4 linked regions of the Notamacropus eugenii genome follow. The protein of the gene in region 4 purifies or fractionates together with the protein of the main gene of each other region. This does not show direct contact. Links are inferred from orthologs where the notes say so. Each region holds a gene or a part of one and is shown on either strand. Other genes may lie near its edges. The genes, in order: E3 ubiquitin/ISG15 ligase TRIM25-like, EPDR1, CASP8 and SQSTM1.

Evidence for each region.
Region 1: the proteins of SQSTM1 (region 4) and E3 ubiquitin/ISG15 ligase TRIM25-like purify together in Homo sapiens (affinity purification with mass spectrometry; 3 studies listed by BioGRID, with this or other methods). This does not show direct contact. The link is inferred for Notamacropus eugenii from reciprocal best matches to the Homo sapiens genes SQSTM1 and TRIM25.
Region 2: the proteins of SQSTM1 (region 4) and EPDR1 purify together in Homo sapiens (affinity purification with mass spectrometry; 3 studies listed by BioGRID and IntAct, with this or other methods). This does not show direct contact. The link is inferred for Notamacropus eugenii from reciprocal best matches to the Homo sapiens genes SQSTM1 and EPDR1.
Region 3: the proteins of SQSTM1 (region 4) and CASP8 purify together in Homo sapiens (affinity purification with western blotting; 5 studies listed by BioGRID and IntAct, with this or other methods). This does not show direct contact. The link is inferred for Notamacropus eugenii from reciprocal best matches to the Homo sapiens genes SQSTM1 and CASP8.

What each region holds. Positions count from the first base shown.
Region 1 is NC_092873.1:368,989,272-368,997,121, forward strand, and holds the start of E3 ubiquitin/ISG15 ligase TRIM25-like, read right to left. Parts: upstream 3,020-7,850; 5' UTR 2,924-3,019; coding exon 2,294-2,923; intron 1-2,293.
Region 2 is NC_092874.1:478,735,163-478,742,654, reverse strand, and holds the start of EPDR1 (mammalian ependymin-related protein 1), read right to left. Parts: upstream 3,012-7,492; 5' UTR 2,602-3,011; coding exon 2,375-2,601; intron 1-2,374. UniProt on the Homo sapiens protein: Binds anionic lipids and gangliosides at acidic pH.
Region 3 is NC_092877.1:297,410,452-297,418,279, reverse strand, and holds the start of CASP8 (caspase-8), read right to left. Parts: upstream 3,004-7,828; 5' UTR 2,867-3,003; exon of another isoform or gene 2,740-2,866; intron 2,532-2,739; exon of another isoform or gene 1,269-2,531; intron 1-1,268. UniProt on the Homo sapiens protein: Thiol protease that plays a key role in programmed cell death by acting as a molecular switch for apoptosis, necroptosis and pyroptosis, and is required to prevent tissue damage during embryonic development and adulthood.
Region 4 is NC_092872.1:416,510,055-416,517,089, forward strand, and holds the start of SQSTM1 (sequestosome-1), read right to left. Parts: upstream 3,019-7,035; 5' UTR 2,807-3,018; coding exon 2,632-2,806; intron 1-2,631. UniProt on the Homo sapiens protein: Molecular adapter required for selective macroautophagy (aggrephagy) by acting as a bridge between polyubiquitinated proteins and autophagosomes.

The sequences.
Region 1 (7,850 bases), on a different chromosome or scaffold from region 4:
AGGGAGTGAATTTGGAACTCAAAAATTTTAACTGCAACTACTTTTTCGTAGTAGCAAAGGACTGGAAATTGAGGAGTGGCCCATCAACTGAGAAATGGCTGAACAAGTTGTGGTAAATGGAATATTGCTGCGTTATAAAAAAATGATGAGCAGGCTGATTTCAGAAAAACCTGTTAAGACTTGTATGAACTGATGCAGAGTGAACTGAGCAGAACCAGGAGAACACGTACACAGTGATAGCAATACTGTACAATGATCAGCTGTCATGATCAATGACTTGGCTCTTTTCAGCAATACAATGATGCAGGACAATTCCAAAGGACTCATGATAAAAAATGTTATTCACCTGCAGAGAAAACTGATTGATTCCAAATGCAGATGCAAGTATACTATTTTTCACTTTCTATATTGTTTTTATGGTTTTTTTTCCTTTGGGTCTGTGTCTTCTTTCACAATATGATTAACATGGTAATATGTTTTGCAGCGCTGAACATGTATAACCTATACCAAATTGCTTAACAACTCAGGGAAGGGGGAGGTGAGGAAGGGATAGAAAAAATTAGAAACTCAAATTTTTAAGAATTGAGTGTTAAAAACTGTCTTTACAGGGAGGAAAATAAAATATTATTTTAAAAAAATGCTGCCACCAAAAACCTCCTCAAAACCCCAAGAAGATTCAGATTAAGGAAAAAGTAATGTGTATGGTGGAACCAATTTTCATCATTAAAAAGGAAAAGGTATCTTTTTGCATGACTTCACAAGTATAATGGGTTTTGTTGCTTGCTTTCTCAATGGGTTTCAGATGGGCTGGGGGAAGGAGGAAAAGATTTTAGAATTTGACATTTTAAAAAATGAATGTTAAAAAACAAATGATAAAAATATTTTTGAAAAGAAAAAAGGGAGAGTACATGATGACTAGAGTTCATAAGGTTCGAAGACTTTACAAAAATGCTCTGGGCTTGAAAGACCTCATCATGGTTCAATTCAAGAATCTTTAGATTCCTACTACTACATCCCAGGAGGTTCAGGCACAAAGAAAAACAACCAGAAGCGTTCCTGATGTCAAGGAGCATACGCTTTTTACTACAAGATACAACAGATAATGTCCAAAAAAACAAAACAAAACACCACAGAGAGAAGTTCTGAGGCATTTTTGGCCTGGTAGAGAGAGACAAAGACAAAGAGACAGAGACAGTGTGAGACAGACACACAGAGAGACAGACAGACACATAGATTTACAGTAAGCCTGGTTGATTCTCTATTTCTGATCATAGGAGTTAGAACTGGAAGGAGCCTTAGGGATCACCTAAGCTAATCCTCTGGTTTTACCAGAAGATTGAAAGCAATAGGAGAAAGAACCCTGGCTTCCAAGTAAGAGGACCAGAGTTCAATTCCCACTTCAAACATTTGCTACCTGTGTCACCCTGGTCAAGTCATTTGACCTCAGTCCCTCATCTGTAAAATAATGAGGGTGGATTAAATGCCTTCTGAAATCCCAGCTCTCTAAAATCTATTACCCAATAAAGACTGAAGGAAACAAAGTTTCTCATCTCAGCTTCACGGTTTTAGGGCAGTCACTTCAATCCGGGCCACTGGGAAACTAAAGGAGACCCTCCTCTCACTCCCCATCACATATTTCAAAATAACCTTGGGACCTTCGGTTCCCCAGATTTAGCAATACTGACCATAGGGAGGGAGGGACCCCGGATCCACCTAGGACCTCTCTGAAAAAATTCTGGGGAAGGAATTTCCCGCTAGCAAAGCAAAATAGCATTTTCCCAGCAATCTGTAAATTACCCAGGGCACGGAGGGGAATAGGAGACTTGCCCAGGGTGACACGGCCACTATAGAGGAGGCAGGGCTTGAACCCCCTCAAGGAAGCCCTCTCTCGTGGACTGTGGCCTTTTCTCCTAACAAGTCTGGGTACCGGGCAGGAATGACTTCGCCTCCTCCTACAGACCAAGAAACTGACACACTCGCACAGAAAAGGGACCCAAGCGCCCCTGCCGCCCAGGTAGGCGGAGAATAGGTGCCCCTAGATTCTCGAACCTCTCTCTTGAACCCCCACATCCACAAGCCCCCTACCTGTTTCTTGGCTGAACTACAGGTTCTTCCCTCGGAAGGCTCGAAGGAAAGAGAAGGAAAGGGAGGAAAGAGAAACTAATCCCGGCCCCGGGAAATTGAAACTTAGCTGGGCCGCAGCTACCGGTATCCCGCAGGGGCCTGAGGCTAACCCCGAACCGCTGCCAGGCGTCCCCCCCGCCGGACCTCTCCCCGCTCCCCCTCTGCCCACCTTCAGCTGGGTCCTGGCCACGTCCAGGGCCACCGGGGAGCAGGTCTTGTGCCCCACCAGGCAGACGCTGCAGATGCAGACGCCGTGCTGCGAGCAGAAGAATTCCCGGAGGCGGCTGTGCTCGGGGCACCTGCGACTGGCCAGGTCTGGGACGGGCGGCTGCAGGTCGTGGCTCAGGAACACCGGGTTGTCCAGGTGCGGCCGCAGGTGCTCCTGGCAGAAGGATGCCATGCAGGTGAAGCACGTCTGGGCGGCGGGAGCCCGCAAGCAGTAGTCGCAGGCCACGCTGCCGGCGGTGTCCTCCTTCGCCTGCGCCCACTTCGCGGACGGCAGGTCCGAGGACTCGCCATCTCGGGACGCACCGAGGGGCTGCCCCGAATCCCGGAGGTTCTGGGCTTGCTGCACCTGCTTCACCACCGCGCACAGCGCCGTGTTCTTCTTCAGCTGGGGCTTCTCCCGGAAGCACTGGCGGCACTGGGGGCAGTAGAAGCTGGAGCTCTGGCCGCCCCACGCCTCGTCCAGGCAGGGCGAGCAGAAGTTGTGGCCGCACGGGATAGTAACGGGCTCCTGGAAGAGCTCCAGGCAGATGGAACAGGTCAGCTCGTCGGCCAGGGGCTCCAGCTCGGCCATCGCGCTCCGCTCCCGACGCCTTCGAGGAAGAAAAGAAACTCTCCGGGCTCGGGGGAGAAAGAAATGAAACTAGCCGGAGGGGAGGGGACCCCGAGAGTTACGGGAAATCACGTGGGGAGTGGGGAGGAGTTGCAGGGCCGGGCTGGCCCTGGGGGTTGTGGAAGGAAAATATCAACATTCCGCCTTTGAGACACGCAAGCCAGAAAGAGTTGTGTTTCATTGACGTGCTCTAGCGAATCCAACAGACGTTTATTAAACACCCACTATGTGTCAGACGATGTCCCTAAACGCTAGGGATACACAGAAAGGGAAAAATAAAAATTCAAAACAACCCACAATCTCTGTTCTTGAAGAGAGTATATTCTAATGCCGCCTATACATGCGTATGGCCCAAAGGGCTCAAGGTCCCCCAGCGCATCCTGGGTCTTCGCCAGGCATCCTGAGGAATATCTGGGCACTGGATTCAGATGGCTCTGGAGGAGAAGTGAGGCTGGTGACCTGCACAGCCCTCCCTCACTCAAAACGAAGTCATGTGCAAGTCATGTCATCATGTCTCTGATGCCATGGCCCTCTTTGGCAAGGAAGGACGACCACAATATATGCGTGTGTATGTAGATAAATACACTATCTCTCTATATCCATATAGGTAATCGCGAGGAGAAAGCACTAACCTTAAGGGGGAGTGGTAAAGGCTTCTTGCAGAAAGTAGGGCTTGAATTTAAGGAAGGCAAGAGGAGGGAAAACATTCCAGGCAAGGAGGCTGTCACTAATGAAAATGCGAACTTCAGAGATGGAGCATCCCCTGCAAGCAACATCGAGGAAGCCCTTGTCACTAGATCGAATTGTATGCACAGGGGAGTGAATGTCAGGAGACTAGAGAAACGGGAGGGAGCCAAGTTATGAAGGACTTTAAGGCATTTCCACCTTGGAGAGAGGGAGAGTTGTCCATATTGTCATATACTCTGATACATCTCTGTACCACAAGATGACATGGGGTAGAATTTATAGAAATCTTGAACAAGCAGAAGATCACAATGCATTAAAGCACAGTTTAGGATTACCTTTCCAGAAGTCACTACTCACTTCCTTTTTGGACCCTTCCTTTCAAGGATTGAAAAAGATTACTTCCTACTTCCCCCTCCTCTCCCTCCCAGCCTCCATCTATACCTTAATCATGAATGGAAAAGAGGACACTGCCCTTAGGTGCAGTGCCATTCACTGCAGGTCAGGGGGATGCTAGGTTCTTATTTCAACCTAAATTAAATTTGGCTCTCATTCTTAATCCAGTCCTTTAACCTTTCTTCTACCCATTCTCTTAAAGGGAAAGTCTGAAAGACTTTTAGGTTGGAGAAATATTATTCCTTAATATTTCTCTTGAGCTAAAGAGGGAGGCTTTTACTATGCTTTCATAGGTTGGAGGAATGTAGGGAACCCTAGAGGTCCACAACGGTTTCAGGAGCACATGATGGCCTGATAAGCCCACTTGATTGTGCAAATGGAGCAAAGGTTGTTGGTTCGGCCCTCCGGAACCCTACACAATAGTCCCAGTTCTCTCAGTCTTGAGTAAACATTCTGGTACTTATTAAGACTTTCTAAGGCAGTCGTGAGACTGGTATCTGTACCTTAAGGAGGTAAATGTATCACTAGCTTGCCACAAGTATGGAACTTAAAAGGCTGAACAGTATATAAGGCTTGTACTTGCTAATAATAAACGGAGCTTGCTACATCTCTGTCTCCCGCCTCATCACTGCGTGCCTGAGACTCGAGATGTCCCACTGGTCAGGGGTCTCTTCACTGAGCCAGCCGTTACCTCAACAGAGGAAGAATGATTAGGACAACTCCTCAGCACAAAATAACAACCCTAATGGCAGAGATCCATCTGCCCAATGGGAGGCTAAGGAAAGGAAGAGATGGCTTCACTCAGTTGTTCTGTGAATTGCTACAAAGTGGAGTCTGGAGACCCCAACCAATCCCTGACAGTCTTTTCCACCCTGGGCCAGCAAGGACTTTCCCAGCCTTGTACTCTTTTGCCATCCCAAACCTCCTCCCTAGTAACTCAGGTTATGCCTGTGATTTAGAACTGGAGGTGCACTTAGAATAAACCACTTCATCCAGCTTCCTCATTGTACCCAGAGGAAACTTGGTACCAGAGAGGTGAAGCCATTCACTCAATGGTGTACAGGTTGTATGTGGCAAAGTCAGGATTAAAATTTCTCTGACTCCAGACCCAAAACTCTTCACTGTGTAGTTCAGACTTCTCCCTTACTTCTAATACTGCTGGTTTTGTTTCTAGGCAGCCCATTTAAACTGGGAAAGGGGTATCTTTGCTTCAGTCCATTTTTCATCCTTTTCTCATGTCTTTTCCTGGGCATATGTATGCAGAAATCTATCCAAGAAAGGACTTCTTCCCTGCCTTGATGGAATAGGAGGCAGCTAGCTATGTTACACTGGAGAGAACACTAGCTTGGGCATCAGAGGGCTGTGATTTCAGATCCCCTCCAACCCTTTCTGACCCTGTTGAGTTGCTAATCTGAGCCTCAGTTCCCTAAATATCTCTAAAATAATCTTTAAAAAATGTCTAAATTTCTAAAAGAAAGGATTGGGGTAGGTCCATCTGGATTCATGATCCTATTATCTCTATGTAAGGGAATGCTGACATAGAGAATCACTTGGTGAGGAAACTCCCTCTGCATTGTAAGGAAGCCCATTCTCTGCTATTTATAGTGTCAAATCAAGAAGTATATATTAAACACCTGCTATACCCTGGGGATACAGAGAAACAGAGAAAGAAGAGTCACCTAGAACACACAGAGATACAATGACTTGCCCAGGGTCACGTGGCTAGCATATTTCAGAGCTGGGGCTTAAACACAGATTTTCCTTAGAGTGGAAGCTGGCTCTCTAGCCACAAAGCCACACTGCCTCTATGATATATACATACCATAAAAAATAAATAAGGGAATGGAAGTGGGAGGGAAGAAATGAGAAAATAATGTGGGATTGAGTCAAAACTTGAAGTCCTAGTTAGAATCTCCTAATGCTTCTTGCTTCTGCACACCCCCATTGGTCAACCAAACTTTGAGGGAGATCTCTTTTGAGGTGGGATGATGAAACAATGACCAAAATCATTGCTCCATTTGTTTTTTCGAAAAGTAATCAATTTTAAACTCCATTAAAAGGAAATCCCTTTGCAAAATTGTGTGACTATATGGGGTCATCCCTAAGTATAGCTCTAAGTATGGGTCACTCCTTTAGGATGTAGGAAGTTGCTCAGTTAGCCTGGTAGGATTACAGAGCATGAGTCATTGCATGAAGGTAATTGATACTCATTGCAAAATCTAGGGATGGACTGAAAAGATTGGCCCTGACCTTTGAAACTATTTGTAGAGTAAGCTAGCCAGGTATGTCAGTCTAGAAGAAAGACAACTATGGAGGAAGAGCTCAGCTTCAGAGGTGGCTTTTTACTTTTCCCCTTGCTCCTATTATAAAATGGCAGTGGATGGGTAAGAAAGGTATATGCTTCCCTATGGTAATAGCAACTTGAAACGGAAACATATACCAGTGTCCAGGGCAGAAGAGAGTCCAGCAAAGTCTAGCTAAATGTGTCAGGGACAAGAATCAAGAGTTAGCTGCTAAGAGAGTGGATTGCATTCAAGAGATGGCAGTCCCCAGACATGACATTCTTACTGGTCTTATGGCTTGGGCTCTATTTTGTTCTAGAAAGGCATCATAGTACCATAGACCAGGATATTAGTCTAGCCCAAAGCTGGAGTCAGTAGTCAATCACTGAATAAGATTCTAGCAGAGCCTGAGAGACCAAGGTTAATGAAAGGAATTGGAGGACATCAACCATCAGTGGTGCCCTCAGCCCCACTACAATCCCCACTTTGAATATATCTTGATGACCCATATTCCTCTTGTGTGTACTTCATTTACCAACTCTGTAGGTATTTCTTCTTCCCTCTGACACCTTGAATATTTGTAGGAAATATTCTCCAGGTTTATGAAATGCTGTAACTGATATCATTTCAGTAAATGCCTTTGTCTTGAGCAAATTATGTACTATGACTGACTAGACTCAAGTCAACAAACATATATTAAGAAGGATCCAAATCTAAGGATACCTTAAAGGACCAAGCTGAGTCACTTGATACAGCACATTTTTTCCCATAGGGCAAGAAATAAAAATAAAAATAGAAATGGGGTGAAAATTTCAAAGCAAAATTATAATAAAATTTTCATGTCAATTGATGCATCTGGACCTTCTACTGGTAAGCACTTTACTATGTGCCAGGCACTGGGCTAATCAGTGGAAATATAAAAGTTGAAAACAGTCCATGCTCAAGGAGCTTACAATCTATTGCAGAAGACAGCATGCAAACTGCTAAGCATGTATAAAATATATACAGTGTAAATGGGAGGCAGTCTTAGAGGAACTAGCATTAAAAGGGTCTGAGAAAGTTTTCTTGCAGGAGGCGGGATCTTAGCAGAGACTAGAAGAAGCAAAGGCAAATGTATGCTGGGAACTTGTGAATTATATGGTGTTAGGAGTGTGGACCTACAAAGTCCTTGAGGACTCAACCTGCAAGTTTAAATGTGGATGGCAGGTGTCCCAGAGAGGTACCACCCCTGTGTTATTTAAAGCTCTCAGGTTTTCTCATGCAAAAAGACTTGGATGAGTATTTCAGTTGGAAGAATTTGCCATTTTTCTTGGTGATAATAATAAAGGTTATAATGAAAATTTCCTCCCTGAAACTGAAGTATTTAGTGGATTTTTTTAATGGAGTATACTCAATAAATCAATGTAAGATCTTCAAATTCACAAAGAACCATGAACCTCAGTTATGCTGTGCCATGGTGATACCCAATTTACAAGTAAGTGAGTGCCCCCAGGCATTATATGTATGCTACTTTTATTGTTATATTG
Region 2 (7,492 bases), on a different chromosome or scaffold from region 4:
TTATTAATGAAGAGACCCAAAAATGGAGTGGGTAGAAGGGTGCCTTCTCACTCCTTGAGAGTCTGGAAGAGAGAGGATTAATTATCATTTGGTAGAGAAGGGTTTCCTTCCAGGTATGGGGTAGATGAGGGTTGAGGCCCCACCCAGCTCTAAGAATTCCATATTCTGTAAACCAAGGCTCAGGATGCTACATACTTCTTATCAGTCCTTGGCTAAGGGCAATTCAACTGCCTGGACTATATTTCTCCTTCCAGTCTACAATGATTTGATCTCTCTTCTCTCCCAGTCAGTGCCTTCAAGATCCACTCAAAAGGCTGGATTTGGAGTCTAAGAACCTGAATCCAAGTGCCCACAAGCAACCTAATCTACAGAAAAGAGGACTAAACTTAGATTCAGGAAGACCTGGGTTCAAAGTCTGCCTGTGTAGCCCTGGAGAAGTTTCTTAATATCTGTCAGATTCCAGTTTCTGAATTTGCAAAATGGGGATGTTCATAGCATCTATGTTGCAGAAATCAAATGAGGTAATGTGTCCAGGCATGAAGGGGAAATAAATGTCAGCTCTGTTTAACCCCTCTGGGATTCCTGTAAAATGGTGGCCAACTCGCAATCCAGGAGGTCCCTCCCTCACCAACCCTATTCCCGCCCCACCCAGCATTACCTTATCAACGATGGCGTCTTTTGTAAACGGTGTTTTGCCAAGCTTCTCGAGTTCCTTTGTCTCCCTTAGCAGATGGCTTCTGCTCCCTAATTTCTCCTGTGTCCCCTCGACCCCACCCCCCACCGATCTTCAGGTGTCCCCTGGGCCCAGAACAGAGGACTATAATGCGCTCGGACTGACTGGCCTCTCATCTGGATGTTTCCCTGCCCTGGGGACAGTGCAGCTATAACTTGGCCTTGTGCCAGGCTGCAGCGGAGCCGGCCTAATGCCTCACTACCTGAAGCCATCCCAGAAAATTTTCCAGGAGGCCTTCCCAGGGACATAAATAGAAGAGCCAGGGGCAGCCTGGAAAAGGCAGGGGTAGGAAGCGTTGACTGCTCTAAAGAAAGTACACCATCGCCCCAGTTCTACTGAGGCAAGGTGCCGGGCGGGGAAAGGGTGGTCTGCAGAGCCTGGAATTCTCATCCTAGCAATCCTGGCAGACAATACTACGCATCCCCTGCAGAGGGAGGTGCTGCCGCCCCACCCAGTCTGGCAGATGCTGCAGGCTGGCAGAAAGAGGACAAAGCTTGTCATCAAAGAAAACCTGAGTCACCAGGAGCCGCAACATGGGGGCAGGGTAATGAGTGGGACTGGTGAAAGATAGGTCCCACCCCAACCAAAGAAATTTCTGCGCACACTTTCATTTGATTCTCTCCTCTTCCCTGGCCCCGCCCTTCCCCGACTTTAATCATCTCCCCGAACGTTAAAGAGGAGGGGAGTCCGGTCCTTTCTTAGTGGGATCTGACGTGGAAAAGAAGAGGCGTCCCCTATACCCCTCCTCAGCCCCCGCTCCCCGAAAAGAAAAGTTACAGACAGACAAGAAGCTAGCCCAGGTGCAGAGGTCCTCCCCCCACCTTTCCACCCATCCTCCCGCAACCCCACACCCTCAACCTCCCCGGTCCCCGGTCCCCACTCCGGCCTCCCGCCTCCGCAATGCACCCCGATTCCACAGCCTGAAGTGCACTAGTAATGCATCCCCTCAACCTCCTCCTCGTACCAGGAAGTGCTACTTCCATCCCCAGCCTTTCCGAACCCCAAAGTGCTCTCCCGCACACCCCGTGCAACGACTCTCCCCCCCCCCCCACTGCAGCGCTCCCTCCACCGTCCTGCCTTACGCAGTGCATTACTCTGCCTTGCCGCAGTGCGCCCCCGCCTCCCCGCCTTACTGCAGTGCGCCCCCCTCCCCGCCTTGCCGCAGTGCGCCCCCCCTCCCTTTTTGCCGCAGTGCGCTCCCCCTGCCTTGCCGCAGTACACCCCTCCTCCACCTCCTCTCCTTGCCGCATTGCGCCCCTACCCCGCCTCCCTGCCTTGCTGCAGTGCGCCCCCCGCCCCCCTCTCTGACATGTCCCTCAATGAACCCCACCCCACACCCTCAACGCACCCCGCCCTGCCGCAGTGCGCCCCTCGCTTCCTCTCCATGCCCCTCTCCGCATTGACCTCCTTCCCAAAGCCGCAGTGCTCCCCCGCTCTTCTCCTTGCGGTGCTCTCCAATGAGCCCCCTCCCATACTGCAGTGCACCCCCCAGCCTCCCTGCCTAGCTATGGTTCACCCCCAGCCTTGCCGCAGTGAGTCCCCGCCTAACCATAGCCCCCACCTCGTTTCTCCCCACCATCGAAGCCTTCCCTCCCTGCACCCCAGTCCCCCTAGTCCCCTGCCTGAGACCCTGGCACTTACTTCTTGCAAGGGATGAGAGCCTTCCTCTCCTCCAGCAGGCGGACGCGCTGCTGGAGGGCATCGTAGGAGAGCAGGGCGCGGGTGTTGCGGCCGCTGCTGTGGTCGTAGCGCACCTGACGTCCTTCCCACTGCTGCGGAGCTTGGCATGGCGGCCCAGGATCCCCGACAGCCAGCGCCCAGCTGCAGAGGCTACCCAGTAGCCAAGCCACTAGAAGCGCAGCGCGCATCCCTCTCTGTGCCACAGGGGACAGCGCAGGTGGAAAGGCGCGGGCTGGGGAGCAGGGTGGCCAAGGACGGGGCACGACTGGGCTGGGCTGGACAGCGCTGGACTGGACAGCCCAGGGCAGGGCAGGGCAGGGCAGGGCAGGGCTGGGGAAGGAAACGCGGGAAAGGGCAGTGGCTCTCTCGCCGCCGTCCCCTCCCTCCCCTAGCCGGTCGGTGCACTTGCCGGGGGAGGGAGGGACGGAGGTCCAGTCGGGTCTGGAGAGAGCCGCGACCTCGGCTCCGGCTTCCCCGTGCGCAGGGAGCTGGCTGGGGGACACTGCGGCAGGGAGCTCGCAGCTGGCTCCCTCCCGCTCCGGCTCCGGCTGAGACTGCGGCTTCCTTCCCCCCGCCGCCTCTCTGCTGCCAACAGGAAATGCAGAGGCAAACGTGCCCGTCGCAGCCCAATGGGCATCCGCAGAGTGGACGTGCGGGCGGGGGGAGGAGGGAGAACTCGGGCAAATGCGGGAGGACTGCAACACCAGCCGGGCGGGGCTGCGGCAGTAAATGCTGGAGACAGGACCAGCTGCCCAGAACTGCCACTCAGTCTCCCCCCAAAACTCCAAGGGGCATCTTGGCATCCCTCTGGACACCAAGTGGGGAGCCAGGTTCCGCACGGAGGGAGAGAAAGCGCCCTTAACTTCACGTTAGGATGAGCTGGTAACGACCTTAGCGATTCTCTGACTCGGGCCCCTCATTTTTCAGATTAAGAACTAGAGGGTTTCCGGGAAGGACAAGCAACTGGACGTTGCAGTGGTAGAGCATGGACTTGACCCAGTAAAGTCCGGGCCTGCAGTCTGGAGAGATTGGAGTTGGATTCCTGGCTCTGGCTGTAACTCTTACTAGCTGGGTGACTTAATTTACCCAAGCCTCAGTTCCCACAGTTTGCTTTTCACACTATTTAAATATAAATAGAGCACTATATAAGTGGGAGTTGGTGTCACCCCATGGATCCAATAACTCAAGAAACATTTATTAAACTCCTCCTGTGTAAGGCATGGTGCTAGGTCCTGCACCAAACTGACAAAAAAGAATCTGTTCCTGGCCCCAAAGAGTTTGCTTTGGGGGATAAAGGCTCTTTGAAGTGTGGCCTTTTCACTTGCTCAATCAGATCAAACCACTATATCCACACATTTGTAAAAATTACCTCAGGCCCCTTCAATGTACTACCCATGTGACCTTAGGCAAGTAATTTGCCTTCTCTGGCCCTCAGTTTCCCTGTTTGTACAATGAAAGGGATGGACTAGTTGACCTCTTCGATTATAGATTTCAAACTGGAAAGGACCCCAGAACCCATCAAGGCCAATCCCCACATTGGACAGATGAGGACTCAGGTCTAGTGCTCTTTGCACTCTACCCACCACCCTTCTCTCTAGTTCTACATCTAGTATTCTCCAACCTCCATCTGACAGTTTTTTTTCTATTTGAGGGAGTCCAGGTCTCTGGATCTGAGGAACTCAGGACTAAAACAGAAGAATTACTCTTGCCCTCTCTAACATCACTGGAGGTCAAATACATATTGAGAAGCCTCACTGTCTTGAACTTGTCACACAGTAGATACTTAGTAAATACTTTTTGATTAACCGTGCCTGGTAACCATGAGTGACCTTGTGCCCCTGGGAAAGTGAGGCAGGAGGGAGAGCCAATTAAGATTGGATTTAGAAGACTGAGATATACTTTTACAATGCCCTGAAAGAAGAGACTGGTATAGAGCAGCAACTGTTGAGTAAATGTTTGAATCCTCATCCACAAAGGCCAAGGTGCCAAGCACACATTTCATCTCTTCCATTAATTGTCCAGGAAGTGGCTGAGATGTCCAGAGGCTAGGCTGGCCTTTAGCTTAAGCAGGGGGTTAGATCCTAGGACTAGTGGAAAAGCAGTGAAAGAAAGTGAAAGTGGGAGGAAATAGCAGATCATCTAGTCCAGGGGTGAGGAACCTGCTGCCTTGAGGCCACATGTGGCCCTTTAGGCCCTCAAGTTCAGCCCTTGGACTGAATGCAAACTTCGTAGAACAAATTCCCTTCATAAAATAACTTGTTCTGTAAAACTTGGACTCAGTCAAAAAGCTATGCCAAAAGACCTAGAAGGCCACATGTGGCCTTGAGGCTACAGGTTTCCCACACCAATCTAATCCAATCTTCATATTTTACAAATAAGGAAACAGATATTTTACAGATTAAAAAACTTTGAGAAAGTAAATGACTTGCCTGTGAAGTGATTTGAGGAGAGCCTAGAAGGGTTCTTCTTTGCCACCCCAGTTCTACCTTGAAAAGAATCTCAATCCCATCTAGGGGTGTGGTAGAACCAAATCTATCTTGGAGAGTAATTGTTGAATTTTCAGTCTGGACATTTACACCTGGAAATTAGTAAATGCTATAAATGAGAGCTTGACTTTGTAGTTCTGTTGATTTTCTAGACCTGAAGAAATTGATGGGGAAATGTTAACAATACAGATTAAACTTAAAAGTGTGTTCCAAGTAGTTGCTTGTTTAAAGATTCCACAGTGTCTCATGTACCATCCTTAGAAAGCCAGTCCTTGCTTGAAATTTGGTTTTTTTTTTCTCTGTTCTTGGTGGAGTGAGGCATTATCATTCATCTTGGTGTGACTATGCATTCTCTAATGGCAACCCTTTTAGAGTGGACCCTGAGGGTTCTAGTTGGGAGTCCCAGAGGTTGAGGCAGGGCCAAAGGGGGGGGTGGAGGATCAGGAAGGAGAACAGGAGCCCCCAATGTCAGAGTCACCATGTTGCCCAGGACCCTAAACAAGCCAGCCTGCTTGCCCAAAAGCAAACTTTATTGCCTCTCCAGGTAAAGTCTACTTCCTGTATTGTACATGAGTGTACAAGGGAACTGCACTGGGCCAAACATGCTCCCTATAAATGAGAAAACAAACTAATGAAGAAAGAAAGGCTTGCTTGTCACCCACAAGTGGCTTGAGGAAGGGCTAAGCATTTTCAGGAGAGATGGGAAAGAATGGCAGAGGGAACCCTGGAGACCCCCCCAGTAGTAGCAGCATTATTGATGATTATGGCACCTCCTACTTCAGGTCTTCATATTTTGTTGTAATAACTGAGAGGAATTAAGGTGCATTGTCAAGAGTTCTAGATTTGCTGAGTATCAGGGTTCCAATCTAGCTCTTCCAATTTCTACCTTGGGAAAACTAGACCTCAGTTTCCTCATCTGTAGAATGAGACAGTTAGACTGGATGACCTGTAAGTTCCCTTTCTGCTTTAGATCTAGAATTCTGAGATCTATGTGCCAGTTGTGTTTTTCTAGACTATAATCCCCCCAAGGACAGGGATCATGTCTTTGTGTCCCTCGTACATGGCACAATACCATGAACATGACAGGGAGTTAATAGATGTCTGTTGGGTGAAATTATTCACCTTTAAATCTTTCCAATGTAAGCACAAATCTAGGGCTAAGGTATAAGGATAAAGCTATATTGAAGACCAAGGCTTAAAGAGAACACCGGCTTTAGGTGGCAATTTCAGATTTGCTCAACATCAATCAATAAATATTAATAAGTACCTGCTATGTGCCAGGCACCTTGCTAAGTGCTGGGAGCAAAAGGAGCAAAAGACAATTCCTGCCTCAAGGAATTCATAGTCTAACGGGAGAGACAACACGCAGACAAATATATACAAAGCAAACTCTAGATAGAATAAATAAATACTTAAGGGGGTGAGGAGGGGAAGCACTGGGATTAGGAGTGATTGGTGGGATTTTAGCTGAGACTTCAAGGAAGTCAAGGAAGTCAACAGGTGGAGTTTAAAAGGGAGAGGGTCCCAAGCAGGGGGACCAATCAGAGAAAATGACCAGAACTGAGAGATGGAGTGTCTGACTATCGGAAAAGCCAAGAAGCAGAGTCACCCCATCAAAGGATAATTGTTGGGGAGTGAGATATAAGAAGAAGGAAAAGGTAGGAGAGGGTAGGGGATGAAGCGCTTTGAATGCCAAGGAGAGGATGAGGCCACAGTTTACATGTATGAAAGTAGGAAGAACAGAAGGCTATCTTTCTAAGGGATCACCTTAGAAACAGGGTGGGGTCTCATGTCTGGAGAACACAGTAAAGAGAAGTCTGTTGGAAGCATGCCTTCCTCATCTGCTCCTCCCACATCTGTCTTTACCCAGATCTGAAAAAGCTAAGGGAAGAAGAAAAATACCTTGATTTTAACTAGCCCTGGCAAGTCTATGAGTATCATTTCTCCTTCATAATTTAAATCTAGGATTAAAATTAGGAGTTTTAATTTTCCACGAAACAGACCAAGAATCTGGTAGAGTTAATGATGCACAGGCCCACTCTAGAATGGATCTGAAGCCCTGGAGTGGGCTGGGGACAACTCCCTGGTCCTTTTGATCTGATATGACTTCATCTCAACCTAAATCAATCCTCACCTCAACATCTAAGAAAGTCAGAAAGACCCAAGTTCAAATCTAGTCTCAGATGCTTACCAGCTGTGTGATCCTGGGCAAGTCACTTAACCTGTTGGCTTCAATTTCTTCATTAGTAAAATGAGCTGGAGAAGGAAATGACAAACCCCTCCAGCATCACTGCCAAGAAAATCCCAAATGGGGTCATGAGTAGAGTCGAACCCCTGACAAACAACAACAAACCTCAATTAAGCAATGCTTATTAAGCACTGACTACAAGTAAGACTCCAAACTAGCGGCCAGAAATAAAAATCGAACAGTCTCTTCCCTCAGTATGCTTATATTCTACCACAGAAATGCATGTAAACAAATAAACAAAACACAGAATATATGCAAAGTAATTTCAAAAGGGGGGTGGAAATCAGAAAAAGTCTGAAGTAGGAGGTGCCATCTGGTCTGTGCTATGAAGAAAGCTGAGGATTC
Region 3 (7,828 bases), on a different chromosome or scaffold from region 4:
CAGACATTAAAGAGATTTGCAAAACTATGTGAAACAGTGCCAGTCTCATCATTAATATTCTTTTGTTTTGGAAAACAGTAATTTTCATTAAAATATTATTTATGTTAACATAATGACTTGTTATTTTTAAATGAATGAATTAATAATTTTTTTTAAATCAGTAGATACGATCCACACAAATCACAGCGTTACTCAGGGGATGGGATGGAATTTCAACACAAGCTATCTTTCCCTTGGTGCAGACTCCTTAGGTGTACATGTTACCAGTAAGCTTTTCTAGGACAGAGTCATGTCAAAGTGCATGTGGATTATGCCAATTTCATCATCCCTCTCCATGCTAGAAAGAGTTTGGTTACAGATTAATAATTTTTTTTCTTAAAAACCTTTTCTAGCAGACTGATACATGTATTATATAAGTGCCTACAGTATTCATGTTTTTCTTTGATGCTTTATGCAGATTTCGTCATTGGTTCTTTCACTTTCATAGGATGATAGATTCCAGAAGTAGACGAGATCTTCCAGGTCACTAAGTCCAAAGAAACTGGGCAAATTACACAACTTGTAGGTGTCTGGATTTGAGCCCAGTTCTTTTTGACTCCAAGTCCAGTACACTATCTATCCAAGGGTAGGAAATCTATAGTCTTGAGGCCACATGTGGCCCTCAAAGTCCTTGAGTGAGGCCCTTTGAATCCAAACTTCACAAAACAAATCCCCTTAATAAAAAGAATTTGTTCTGCAAAACCTGGACTCAATCAAAAGGCCACACCCAAGGACCCAGAAGGCCACAGGTGATCTGGAGGCTACAGATTCCCCACGTCTGCATACTGCCTTTCTTTCTTTCCTTTTAATCCTTCCTTTAGATCAACCTTCCTAAGATGAATTTGATTTGCTTGTGACTATTAGGGACAATAGCTCTTTGATAAGACCACCTGACAAATGGTAGAGAGGTTGTGATCAGCATTGGTGGAGGGGTCTTCTCATCAGGGAAATTATAGATCCTTAAAGTATTGGAATAAACATTCCTTACAATAAGCTTATCATCATTTTCTAACATTCCTTTTGCCTCTCTTCAATCCTCCCATTGCTCCCCTTCCTCCAGTTCTCTCAGCTGAGAAGCTTGCCTCCTATTTCACCAAGAAAGATTGAGACCATTCACAAAGAGCCCCCTCTTCTTCCTTCTTCATCTCCTATCACTCAGATGCCTTGCACTCCTATTTCCTCCTTCACCACTGTCTCACATGATGTGACCCTTCTATTTGCCAAGTCAAAGTCCTTTACACACAAGTGATCTCACTCCACCCTGTCTTTTCCAGCAGATCACTCCTCTGTCATCTCCACTCCCACTAATCCTCATTTTCTCTCCATCTACTGGTTTTTTCTCTACTGCCTATAAACACACCAGTAAGGGCAAACACAAACCTTCCCCAAAACCCTTTCCTCTCTGGTCCTCCCTCCTGGGTCTTCTAGATATTTTCTACAGTGCCCAAGAAAGAACTTTTTCTACAATGTCTCTTTACTCTGGAACTCACGCTACTCCCAGACTTCATATTCAAAATGGAACCCTCTGACTCTTGGACATTCGCTTCCCCTGGGCTCCACCCAGAACCTCCATCTTAAGGAGGTGGCCTGGGCCCATCAGGTATTCATTCTATTCCAAGTGGCACTCTTGAATCTCCCAAACATTTTTTTTTTGCACTTGATACCTCTTTTTCCTTTCCTTTTATATGTTTTCCTCCTTTAGATTGTGAGCTCTTTTGAGAAGCACGAATTCTTTTTATATCTCCATTGCTTAACACAGCCTGATGCACAGTAGGCACTTGACTGACTGACAATCAATACCTTCACTTTCGTTTCTCTCACTCTCCCAACTTTTTAAAATCTGATTCAACTAAAACTGCTTTCTCCAGATTTACCAATGATCCCTTAAAAGCATATCTAGTGACCTTTTCTCAGTCTCGATCCTTCTCGACCTCTTCTCCCTCTATACTGTTTCTGTTTGGCGATGTTATCAGCTTCTATGGATTTCACGATCTTTTCTAAGTTAAAGATTGTATTTATTCATAACTATTTATCTAGCCCTAATCTCTCTCCTGACCACCTTCCTCATATCTCCAACTGCCCTTCATAATCTCGGTCCCCTCTGACTTCTTCCACCTCAGTCCCCTCCACTTACTCTTTAACTTTTCCAGGTTTTCTTTTTTTACAACTTAGTAACCTTCCCTCCCCCCCTCCAATTCCCATTTACTCTTCAATGTTGCATCTGGAGCCATCTCCAGTCGTCCTAATCTATAGCTTGCCACTGGACCCAGAACTCACTGGAGAAGAGAATGAGTCTGGTGACTTTGCACAGCCCTCCCTCACTTAAAAACTTATTTGCAAGTCGAGACAGCACCTTCCTCATGTCACAACAGACAACAAACACACACAATGCTCCATCTGTCACCTTAAGGCATTTTCATTATTGTTTTCCACTCATGGAAGTCTCTCCCTCCCCAGCTACACCTCCAGACTGCCCTGCATTCAAGTTCCAGGTAAAATTCTACTTTCTACATCTGGTCCTTTGTCATGCTAGCGTCTTCCCTCTGAGGCTATCTCCAATTTATCTTTTATGTATCTTATTTAGACAAGATACATGTATCTTGTTTGGACATGATACATGTATCTCGCATATCTTGCATATCTTCCTCGCGAGACTGACAACTTTCTGAGAACTGTTTTTTGCCTTTTTTTAATCCCCAGCCCTTAGAACAGTGCCCAGCACAACAGAAGTCACTTAAATCCTGGTTCTACTTCGCGAAAAAGTAAGAGATTGGGTTTCTCTCCCCCTTCCCCCCCTTCCTTCCTTCCTTGGACCGTGGCAACTCACCTACCGAAGTGGATTCCGCGTTCAAATGGTGGCGGGGCCGCCTCTCTTATCTCTCTCGGTTCCGCACTTTCAAAGTTAAGTCAAGTCACCAGCCCGGAAAGATCCCGCTGGCTGAGCTCTGTCTGGGCACACTGCAGGCTTCAGAAGCTGTCCAGCGCGAGCCCCGCGGCGCCCGGAGATACTGATTCTCAGCAAAAAAGAAAAGAAAAGAAAAGAAAAAAAAGTCAGCGAAGGGAAAACCAGCACATTTTTTAAACTGGGAACTGAATGAGTCATTTCCCCTCCCCACCTTCTGAAAAAAAAAAGCTTAAAGGACCAGGACCTAATTGTCTGCTTGACCCTAAGGTGAAGTTCAAAACAAGGAAACGTCAATTTGAAAACCGTCTAAGGGAGCCCCACCCTGGTTCAGAACAGGTAACTCCAGAGGGCAGGTGGTTGATTGGGGTCTTTAATATGAGAAGACAGCCCACCCCTACCCAATTCCTTTGCAGAAGGGAGAGGTCCACCGTGCGGAACATTGCATATATTCTCACTTTCTTCGTTCGATTTTAGGTTTTTTTTTAATCCTTCCTTTTCCTCCTCTCCCCTTTAAAAATATTTGTTATATAGATGGCTCTCTGGGAAGGGTAGGGAGAGGCATACCAGTAGACATTTAGTGATGGAAAAAAAAAAGATGACTATAAAAAGAAAGACAAGAGAAAGAATTAAAGAAAGAGAAAGGGAAGAAGAGAAGGGGGGGAGGGAAGAGAGATCTAAGATTAGTAAAGTCGGGCCACCAGAAGAGCAATATGATAGGCCAGTTGCAAAATTTGCCACTCCAAAAATAAACACTTTTCCCCATCCCCATCCTCACTAAATTCCTGAAATTACTTTTCCCCTCAACTATCTGAACCCCAACAGTCTCAGCTCTATTGTGCTCCTCTAGCTCAGTAAAAAAAAAACTCTCAGAGAGCAAGGGCTGTGTTTTCTCTTTGCACCCCCAGAGCCCAGCATTTTACCTACATGCTGATAAATCCAGGATGAATTGAGAAGAAAATGATCAGAGACAAATTAAATTCATAATCCCTTGCCCGAGAACCTGGCTTAGTAAGGCAAGAGGATCTCATTTGCTCTTTTAAGACTATTTGAGACTCCTCACTAGGGTTTACAGATACGGTGGGGAACCTGATGTGGAGAGGGGGGTGAAGGCTTTGCCCAGAGTAATTGATTTTATTTTTGTTTTTTAGGGCTGTGATTTCTGCTGCCCTCAGCATGAAGAGGAAGAGTTTAGAGAACAGCTAGTCAATCTCCTTATTTTACAAGTAAGAAAACTGAGGCCCAGACAGAAGCTGTTGGCCCCCAAAAACTTCTCTAGCTATCAGCCACCTTGAGGAATCTGAACCAGTTACCCACCTCCTGGCTTCCATCCATCTCTTCCTGCAGGGACTTCAGTTACGTCTACCTCCCTTCCCCTCCCCTCCCCTCCCCTCCCCTCCCCTCCCCTCCCCTCCCCTCCCCTCCCCTCCCCTCCCCTCCCCTCCCCTCCCCTCCCTCCCCTCCGCTCCCTTCCCCAGCTTCTCCTTGATCCCCCCCACCCCCACATCTTCCTCTTCCTTAAATGGGCTTCTAGATTCACAGGGCCTTACCTCCACCTACTTGTCCCTGCTGTGAGACTAGCTTCCTAGGACCCTCACAGGACACATCATCATCTACCATGAGATTGGACAACACCAAGAAGTAGGAAGAAGAGTAAGCATTTATTAAGCATCTTCCATATGCCAGGCACTTTGCTAATCACTTAACAAATGTCTCATTTGAATCCTCACCACAGGTGCTCTTTTCATCCCCATTTTCCAGTTGAGGGAACTGAGGCAGACAGAGGTTAAGTGACTTCCCATAGTCACACAGCTAGAAAGTGTCTAAGGTAGGATTTGAACTCAGGTCTTCCTGACTCCAGGCCCAGAGCTCCACCTATATTGAACAATATTGAACCTACTTCCCCAAATAGATCTCTCTCCAATCACTGCTATTCTTTTTGGCCTCATTTCTCAAAGGCCAGAATACTCTCACCCCCTCATACTCTCCCCATTCCAGTGATTCTGACCCCATGGTTACTAATGTACAAATTCTGTTCCCCATCTCTAACTACCCGTTGGTTAAGAAATATCCCTAAGACCAGTAAAACCACATTATTTTCATATATGTATATGTATGGATACATACAACACATACATATATTTATATGTGTAAATATATATAAACATTCCTATATATGCTAACACATGTGCACATATATGATGTGCATATATACATATGCACACACATGCACGTGCGCACGCACACACACACACATACTACAAGCCTTCTTCCCATCCCACTCAACCCAAACCCTAACAGAATCCTGCTCCAGATGTATCAATCCTGTTCCACTGTACTCTCTGGAATACTTGCTCCATAATTAACAAATTTCCTTTCATGTTAAACCTCTTCCTTTCTCTCTCCTTCTATCTTCTGGCACTGACATTCCTGATAATGACATTCCTTCCACCACACATCTTCCTGGTACTGGCTGCATTGTCTGTTATACCTCCAACTAGGTAGTGTAGTAAATAAAACAGCTTGAGGGAAGGAAGACCTGAGTTCAAATTCTATCTCAGACACTATATTAGTTGTGTAATCCTCAGCTAGTCACTTAACCTCTATCTGCCTCAGTTTCCTCATCTTTTTTTCTTTATATTTAAATTTATTTATTTAAGTTTTCAACATTCATTTCCACAAAATTTTGGGTTCCAAATTTTCTCCCCATTTCTCCCCTCCCCCCACCCCAAAACACCGAGCATTCTAATTACCCCTATCACCAATCTGTCCTCCCTTCTAACATCCCTTCCTTCCCTTCTCCCCATCTTCTCTTTTGTCCTGAAGGGCAAGATAAATTTCTATACCCCATTGCCTGTATTCTTATTTCCTAGTTGCAAGAACAATACTCAACAGTTGTTCCTAAAACTTTGAGTTCCAACTTCTCTTCATCCCTCCCTCCCCACCCATTCCCTTTGGGAAGGCAAGCAATTCAATATAGGCCATATCTCTGTAGTTTTGCAAATGACTTCCATAATAGTTGTGTTGTGTAAGACTAACTATATTTCCCTCCATCCTATCCTGTCCCCTGTTTCTTCTGTTCTCTCTTTTGATCCTATCCCTCCCCAAGAGTGCTCCCTCCTCCCACTGCCCTCCCTTCCATTATCCCCCCCACCCTGCTTATCCCCTTCTCCCCCACTACCCTGTATTGTAAGATAGGTTTTCATACCAAAATGAGTGTGCATTTTATTCCTTCCTTTAGTTGAAGATGATGAGAGTAAGCTTCATGTTTTTTCTCTCACCTCCCCCCTTTTTCCCTCCACTGAAAAGTCTTTTACTTGCCTCTTTTATGAGAAATAATTTGCCCCATTCCATTTCTCCCTTTCTCCTCCCAATATATTTCTCTCTCACTGCTTAATTTTATTATTTTAAGATATGATCCCATCCTATTCAATTCACCCTGTGCTCTCTGTCTGTGTGTGTGTGTTGTGTGTGTGTGTGTGTATGTGTGTGTATAATCCCACCAACTACACAGATACTGAAAAAAGTTTCAAGAGTTGCAAATATTGTCTTTTCATGTAGGAATGTAAACAGTTCAGCTTTAGTAAAGTCCCTTATGACTTCTCTTTGCTATTTACCTTTCCATGCTTCTCTTGATTCTTGTGTTTAAAAGTCAAATTTTCTTTTCAGCTCTGGTCTTTTCATCAAGAATGTTTGAAAGTCCTTGATTTCACTGAAAGACCATTTTTTCCCCTGAAGTATTATTCTCAGTTTTGCTGAGTAGGTGATTCTTGGTTTTAGTCCTAGTTCCTTTCACTTCTGGAATATCATATTCCACACCCTTTGATCCCTCAATGTAGAAGCCACTAGATCTTGTGCTGTCCTGATTGTATTTCCACAATACTTGAATTGTTTCTTTCTAGCTGCTTGCAATATTTTCTCCTTGACCAGGGAACTCTGGAATTTGGCCACAATGTTCCTAGGAGTTTCTTTTATTGGATCTCTTTCAGGAGGTGATCAGTGGATTCTTTCAATATTTATTTTGCTCCCTGGTTCTAGAATCTCAGGGCAGTTTTCCTTGATAATTTCATGAAAGATGATGTCTAGGCTCTTTTTTTGATCATGGCTTTCAGGTAGTCCCATGATTTTTAAATTGTCTCTCCTGGATCTGTTTTCCAGGTCAGTTGTTTTTCCAATGAGATATTTCATATTATCTTCCATTTTTTCATTCTTTTGGTTTTGTTTTGTGATTTCTCGGTTTCTCATAAAGTCATTAACGTCCATCTGTTCCATTCTAATTTTGAAAGAACTATTTTCTTCAGTGAGCTTTTGAACCTCCTTTTCCATTTGGCTAATTCTGCTTTTGAAAGCATTCTTCTCCTCATTGGCTTTTTGAACCTCTTTTGCCAATTGAGTTAGCCTATTTTTCAAGGTGTTATTTTCTTCAGCATTTTTGGGGGTCTCCTTTAGCAGGATGTTGATCTGCTTTTCATGCTTTTCTTGCATCTCTCTCATTTCTCTTCCCAATTTTTCCTCCACCTCTCTAACTTGATTTTCAAAATCCTTTTTGAGCTCTTCCATGGCCTGAGCCCATTGAATATTTATTTTGGATGTTTGGGATATAGAAGCCTTGACTTTTATGTCTTTCCCTGATGGTAAGCATTGTTCTTCCTCGTCTGAAAGGATGGGAAAAGATATCTTCACCAAGAAAGTAACCTTCTGTAGTCTTATTTTTTTTCCCTTTTTTGGGCATTTTTCCCAACCAGTTACTTGGCTTTTGGGTCCTTTGTCAAGAGTTGGATATACTCTGGGAATATGTAAGATCTCAGTTCCTCCAAGGTGGTGCAATCAAGCTTGTACTCGTCTGGACACAGAAAGGGATTTTTGTGCCCAGAATCTTAGCAGTTA
Region 4 (7,035 bases):
TAGAAGATGATCATTCCCATTTTAGAGATGAAGAAACCGAGGCAGGCAGGTTAAACAACTTGCCTAGACTTGTCACACAGCTGGCGTCAACCCACTTCCCCCAACAACAAACTCCAGTGGCTGCCAATTGCCTCCAGGATGAAATCTGAATCCAATCAGATCTTCCTGACTCCAAGCCTGGCACTGTATGTGCTAGCTGCCTAAGGGAATCAAAGACTACAAAGTTAGTATACCTGGATCTCTGAAGTCATTTTTTCCAGGAAAACTCCCCCCCCCCCCAAAAAAATTCGAAAGTGAGACCTCTGCCTCACTTTATAATCTCATTTCTCTTTATCAGTGTCTCCACTTCCTCTCCTCAACCCCTCGCAATCTGACTTCCAACTTCATCATTCCACCAAAACCTTCTCTCTCCAAAGTTACTAATAGTCTCTTGGTTGTCTTTTTCTCCACCCTCGTTCCCCTTGACCTCTAACATAGTTGTGTCAATCTCCCCCCCTTGACACCCTCTTCTAGGTTTTCAGGACACCACACTCTCCTGGTTCTCCTCCCACCTCTCAGATTGTTCCTTCTGTGTCCCTTCCTGGATCCTCCTAATGATGCCACCCTTTAATCATGGGTGTCCCTCTAGTTCCTATACCTGGGCCCTCTTCTCTCTCACTTGCCATGGATCTAATTATCATCTTTATGCCAATGATTCTTAAATCTCCCTCTCCTAACCTCCATTTTCTCATCTCCAACTAACTTTTCAGACACCCAGAACTGGATGTCTAGTAGACATTTTTAACTTAGTTAAACTAAGTCCAAAGCTGAAATCAATCTTTCCCCCTAAATCCTGCCCCTCCAACCTTTCCCTTTACCCTCAGGAGCCACATCATCTTACCAGTCTCTCAGGTTCTTGACCTAGGAACGGTGAACTCCTCACCCATCTCTCATATTCGAGCCCTGCCAAGGCCTATTGATTTCACCTTTGCAAAATCCTTCCAGACACTGCCAACCCCCTGGGTCCAGGCCCTCATCACCTCAGGCTTTGATTACAACATCCTGCTGTGGGGATGGGGTGTCTGCAGGCTTCTCATCTCTCCTTCTTCCAATCTATCCTCCAAGCCACTAAAAGTGATTTTCCTATGTTCAAGTCCGATGGGGTCAACCCACCTTCCCCTACTCAATAAACTCCAGGGCCTCCCTATTGTCTCTAGGATCAAATACAAAAAGCTCTGCTTGGCCTTGGAAAGCCCTTCACAACCTTTTCAATCTTCTTACACCTTACTCGCCCCTACAGGTACTCTTTCTTATCCAGCGACACCAGCCTCCTGGCTGTTTCACGAACTCCAACCCTCAGCTCTGGGCATTTTCTCTGGGTGTCCTGAGCCTAGAAAGTTTTCCCTTTGGTGTTGACTGACCTCCCTGGTTTCCTACAGGAAGCCTTCCCCAAACCCTTTAAATTCTAGTGCCTTCCCTCTTTATTCTGAATGTAGCTCTCTTTCTACGTATTTATTAGCATGTGGTCTCCTCCATTAGACTGTCTGCTGCCTCTTTTGGTGTGCACGGATCTTGTGTTGCCTAAGGATACATCGATTTAAACCAATCCAATCTCCAAGGGTGGTCTCTAAGTGGGATTTCCCCCCCACTCTTTGACTATACAAACATTTCTGGAAAAAAAGTTTAGCTCGTTTGTGGGATTCATCACACGTTATTTTACTAATTAGTTTGGAGACGGTGAGACAGAAAATGGTCACAGATTCTGGAAACTTCTGCCCTGGGGGGAGTAGAAAAGCCAAGGACTACTCTGGGGGCGGGAGGGCCGCCACCGTGGGCTCCGTCCAGGTCCAGCTCGGGCAGTCACAACAGGACCAGGAGGCTGGCGGGCGGCCAGGCCCAAAGCAAGGCTGGAGCCGTAGCAGCGCCAGTAGTAACGCTTCCATGGAACACTCACGCACAACAGCGCTGGCAGCTTGGCCTTACTTCTAATGCCCATTTTACCGACGGGGACGCTAAGGCAGGAGGCGATGAAGCGACCCGCCCGGCGCCGCACGGCTGGGACAAGTTTGATGCCACTCCTGCCAGGGCACACGCGGGCACCGAGACACACACCTCCAAGCCAGGCACACCCTAACCGCCCCCAAGCTCCTTCCGGATCCTCCTCCTCAAAACTCTGAACCTTGGCTTACTTATTCGCATGTTTGTATAAACAGACTTGCTCGTGCAACAGGCTGCTAGATACGCGTACAGCCGCCGATATACGTACACACGTATTACGCATCCACGAGTGTGTGTACACACCCCCACACCCCCAAAACCAAGTGAACTCCTCGGGGGTAGGAGCGCCACCATTTTTCTGTCTCCAGCGCCTCGCACACAGCAGCGTTTAATAAACGCGGGTGGCTGCAGGCGGGCCAATCCTAGCCTAGCTCCCGGGGGACACGGAGACCTCGGCGGGGGTCGGTTCGGCTCCCGCCCAGCCTCGGCGGTTTGGCCCGCGTCACGGCACACGGGGTCCGGTTACGTAAGCCCGGCTCGGCCCGACGCCAGATAAACAAGCGGCAGGGTCAGGGCGGGCCAGAGCCGGCTGCGGGCTCGGAGCCCCGCTCCCGGCCAGGCCCCCGCCTGCCCGGCCCGGCCCCGCGGCCTCACCTCGGTAGTACACCTGGAAGCCGCCGGGCCGCAGCGCCGGGAACACCTCGGCCACGCGGCGGAGCAGCTTCTCGCAGCGGCCCGGGCCGTCGAGCGGCTCCACGGTGAAGCGGCGGATCTCCCGGGCCGCCTCCTCCTTGCCCATCAGGTAGGCCTTCACGGTCAGCCGCTCCATCTCGGCGTCGGCGGCACTGTGCAGGCGGAGAGGCCGGTCTCGGCAGCTGAAAACACGGACGAAGGCGACCTGCGACCCGCAGACGTTGGGACGGCGTCTCCGGCGAGCCCGCCCCGCTCAGGTCTTATACACGACGCCCGAGTCTCCGCCCGGCTGGGGCGGGGCCGGGAGCTACGCGCCCCCCCCCCGGACCCCGCCCGCCCCCCTCCCCTCACGTGTCCCTCGGTGCTAGCTCACGCCCCGAAGCGGATCCCTCGTGCGCTGCCGAAATAAACAAGTGGGGGGAGGGGTCTGCCGTTCGGTCCGTAGTGGCGGAGCTGGGGGCTCTGCGACCCTGGGAGGCATCAGAGTGGGGGCGGGGAGCAGTTCCCACGTGCCAGGGGATGCAGCTGTCTAGAAAAGTATCCCAGAGGCTTCCCACGTGCGTGTGGGAGGGGGTGTCCCTGTAGCCGGAGGAGGCTGAAGGGACCGTCATTTTGCCCCTGGAAAGGAGCGGGAGGCTTTTTGGGGGGTGAGGGTTTTATGCGCCGTTGGGGGGAGTGGAAGGTGGAGGGGGCAGGGAGGGGCGCCGTGTTCTAGGGGAGGTCTCAGCGTCGGGGCGGGGGTGTCTGCTGTAGGAGGGAGGTCCGCGGACCTGCGGAAGGGCCCCTTCAACTTTCAGAAGTATGGGAGCCCTGGCTCTTCCTTAGGGCCCTGAGCTGTGGGGAGGGGGAGGTCTCCGTGCCCCCGGTGCCCCAGCACGCTGGCGAGGGCCGCATAGGGCAGGAAGAGTTGGGCACCAGGCCGCTTCCCTCCGGATTCACAGCCCCACGGGTGAGGGACTTCCCCGGACTGCACACTGACCTGACTGAGCATGACTCAGCAGCTCGCCTGGCCACTTCGGGGCCTCCGGGCTCCGGGAGCTTTCTCTTACCCCGTGCCCCAAAGTGGGCCTGCTGCCCGCAGAGGGGGTCCGCAGCGCTCCTTGCCAGTGTTCACGGACCGTTAGCCAAGGAGAACTTAGCTCGGTGACCTTCTCTGATGGCCAGGGCTCCGAGGCTAACTTGTCTAACTTGCCTAACTTGGCCCATGGGGCTGGGGAGGCTTGGTTTGCCCCTCATTGTTAAATCTGGAATTTTCCATCTTCCTCCAGCTCCAAGAGCCACTTGACTGACCGCGTAGAGATTAAAATATAAAGTACGCGTTATAAATGTTGATACAATATAATATAGATTAAACTATGCCTAACACATAGTAGATGCTTAAAAAATGCTTATTGCTTGAACTACTTGTCCCCTCAAAATCCCCTAGGGTCTGTGCCCTATGCCGTGCCCTTGTCCCCTGAGGCCTGTGGTGCTGAGCTCTTTCCATCTTTCTCCAGTAGAAGGCCCAGGAGATAATTCAACTCTTCCATTCTAACTTACTGTTGTTTCTGACTCTTTGTGACCCTTTGGGGGTATTTTTGACAAAGATACTGGAGTGGTTTGTTATTTCCCTCTCCAGCTCATTTTACAGATGAGGAAACTGAGGTAAAGAGGGTGAAGTGACTTGCCCAGGGTCACACAGATAGTGTCTGAAGTTAGATTTGAACTCAGGTCTTTCTCATTCCAGGCTAGTTCTCTATCTACTGTGCCACCTGGCTGCCCTCCACAATTCTTGGTCTCCTTCAAAACTTAAATCAAGAGATACAGCATAAAAGAGATACAGGAAACCTCTCCCAACTCCTCCAGTTTCTTGTGCCTTCCTCTCAAAACTTAAATTCTATCTATTTTGCTTATATTTTTGTATGTACATACTACTCAACCAACCCCACCCCCGAAGAGTAAGTTTCTTGAGGGCACAGACTATTTCCCTTTTGTCTTTGATTCCCTAAGGTATAGCACAGCCACAGGCCAATGATAAGCCTTTCATAAATGCCTTTCGATTGGTTGATTGGGAATGATGATAATAAGTGTCTGGCTTTAGGGAACAACACATGTTATCAGGGGAATCTGGGGAGTTTCACTGGGCCAAGAGGAAAGGGGTTTGACTAGCACTGTCTGTGAGATCAGGCTTGTTTCACTCCAGTCCAAAGGAGAATTGAGTCACAGGTTCATTTCTATGATTCTTTGTCCCTGGGAGTTCTCTTGGGTAGGATTTTCTCAGGTAGAGGGTGAAATGGATAGAGCTTAGGGCCTGTAGTCAGGAATTCCTGAGTCAGCTCTGACCTCTGACACTGTGTCACCTTACTGCACAAGTCACTTACCCTCTGTTTCAAATAATGACCGCCCCTACTTTCCAGGATTACTGTGAGGATCAAATGAGTTTACATTTGTAAAGCATTTAACACCGTGCCTGACACATAGTAGGCCATATATAAATTCTTATTCCCTTCCCTATTTGTTGACTATCTACAGCAGGTTCTCCTTCCTTTTTTCTAGGCCTCCCCTCAGGAAGCTTATCTAATGGGGAATTTTAGGCAAGTTAATACTGTGTCACTCTCCTACTCTCTTAACTTCCTATTACCTGTAACTTAAAGTATAAACTCCTCAGTTTAGATCTTAAAACCCTTCACAACCTGGCCCTATCTTTCCTCATTCACTGAACATTAACTCCCTTTCTCACGATCCAATCAAACTGGCCTTCAAGCCATTTCGCATCTCCTCAGTTTTGCCCAGGCTGTATCCCACATCTTGAGTGCACTCCCTCCTCCTTTCTACCTCTTGGAGCTTCTAGTTTCCTTAGAAGCTCAGCTTAAATGCCAGCCAGCACTTCTTGGAAGAAGCAAGTGCCTCCCCCTGAAATGACTTCACATATACTTTGTGTGTGCTTGACTCTGTGCTTGCCTTCCTTCTTGGCCGTAGGGATGTCACTTTTTGTCTTAGCCTCAGCACGTAGCCCAGGGCCTGGCACCTAATGGAGGCTTAATAAATGCTTGTTGATTGATTAATTGCTACAGGGATTGCCACACATCATCTTCCTTGATCCTCCTAATAACTCCATCAGGTAGGCACTTCAGGTACCATTTTCTCTACTGATGAGAAAAGTGAGACTCAGAAGAAAGGGAACAGGAAGGATATGGTGGGGAGTCTATAAAAGGTAACAAGGAGTCCAGGATCCCTAAGGTCAGCTAGCTACTTAGAAATGAGGCAGCAGGGCCAGAGAACCCAGGGTTAGTAGAAAGGAATTCTGGTTGGGGGTGGGACACAGAACTTTCTAGAGAACACCAGAAACTTGGGGGGGTATCCCTACTCTCACTCATTTAATTACTTTGGCCACACCCCTTCCTCTTGAGTATTGCCCAACCAGGCTTGGCTCAACCCCATCCAGTACTTTCTAAGGGAGGTAGGAAGGTTTCTGCTCCTTGGCCCTTGGGAGTGTGGGTAACGATGACTCAGTGAGTTCCCAGCCTTGTCAGAGTTCTCCAGCCAGGGCCAGAAGCCAGATGCATCACTTGCCAACCCCCTGCTCAGCTTTAAGGCTTATAAGTTGGAATTTAGAGCTGGAAGGGATCTTAGAGGTCAGTGGAGTCTAGCCCTCTGGGTGAAAGGTTGTAACCTCCATCCTGACTTACTAACAGATACCAAGCTAGGGTCATGGAGTCAGAACTGGAACAAACCTCAGAGGTCATCTAAGCCAACCTCTTTTACAAACAAGGAAACCAAAACCCATGTATGTTTAGTGACTTGCCTACTAAGTGACATTACTATTACTACTTCTGCTGCTGCTGCTACTATCACCCAGGGTCACACAAGCCATAAGAGAAATGAATGAAACATATCCTTCAGATTTGACTCTGTCTCTTCCCAATGAACCACAGTGGTTTCTTTCACTATAGGGGCGAGAGCTGCTCTTTACCATTGGGTTCTGGCTTAGATTTGGTGGGAGGTGAGAGAGGGTGGTTAGGGGTGAGGAAAACACTCATATATGTATATTTTTGTGCATGTGTGTATGTACATATATATGTACGTACATTTAGATATATACCCATATGTACATATAGTGATAATAGCATTTGTAGAGCACATGAAGGTTTGCAAAGTGCATTGCAAATGTTATCTAATTTGATCTTCATGACAGCCCTGTGAGGTGGGTGCTGCTATTATCCCTGTTCTGCTGAAAAAGAAACTGAGGCAAGTCAGAGATTAAGTGCTTTACCCAGGGTCACATAGCCAGCAAATGTCTAAGACCTGATTTGCAGTCAGGCACTCTGTCCACTATGCTAACCTCTCTCAGCCTCAGTTTCCTCATTTGTAAAATGGGAATGATGT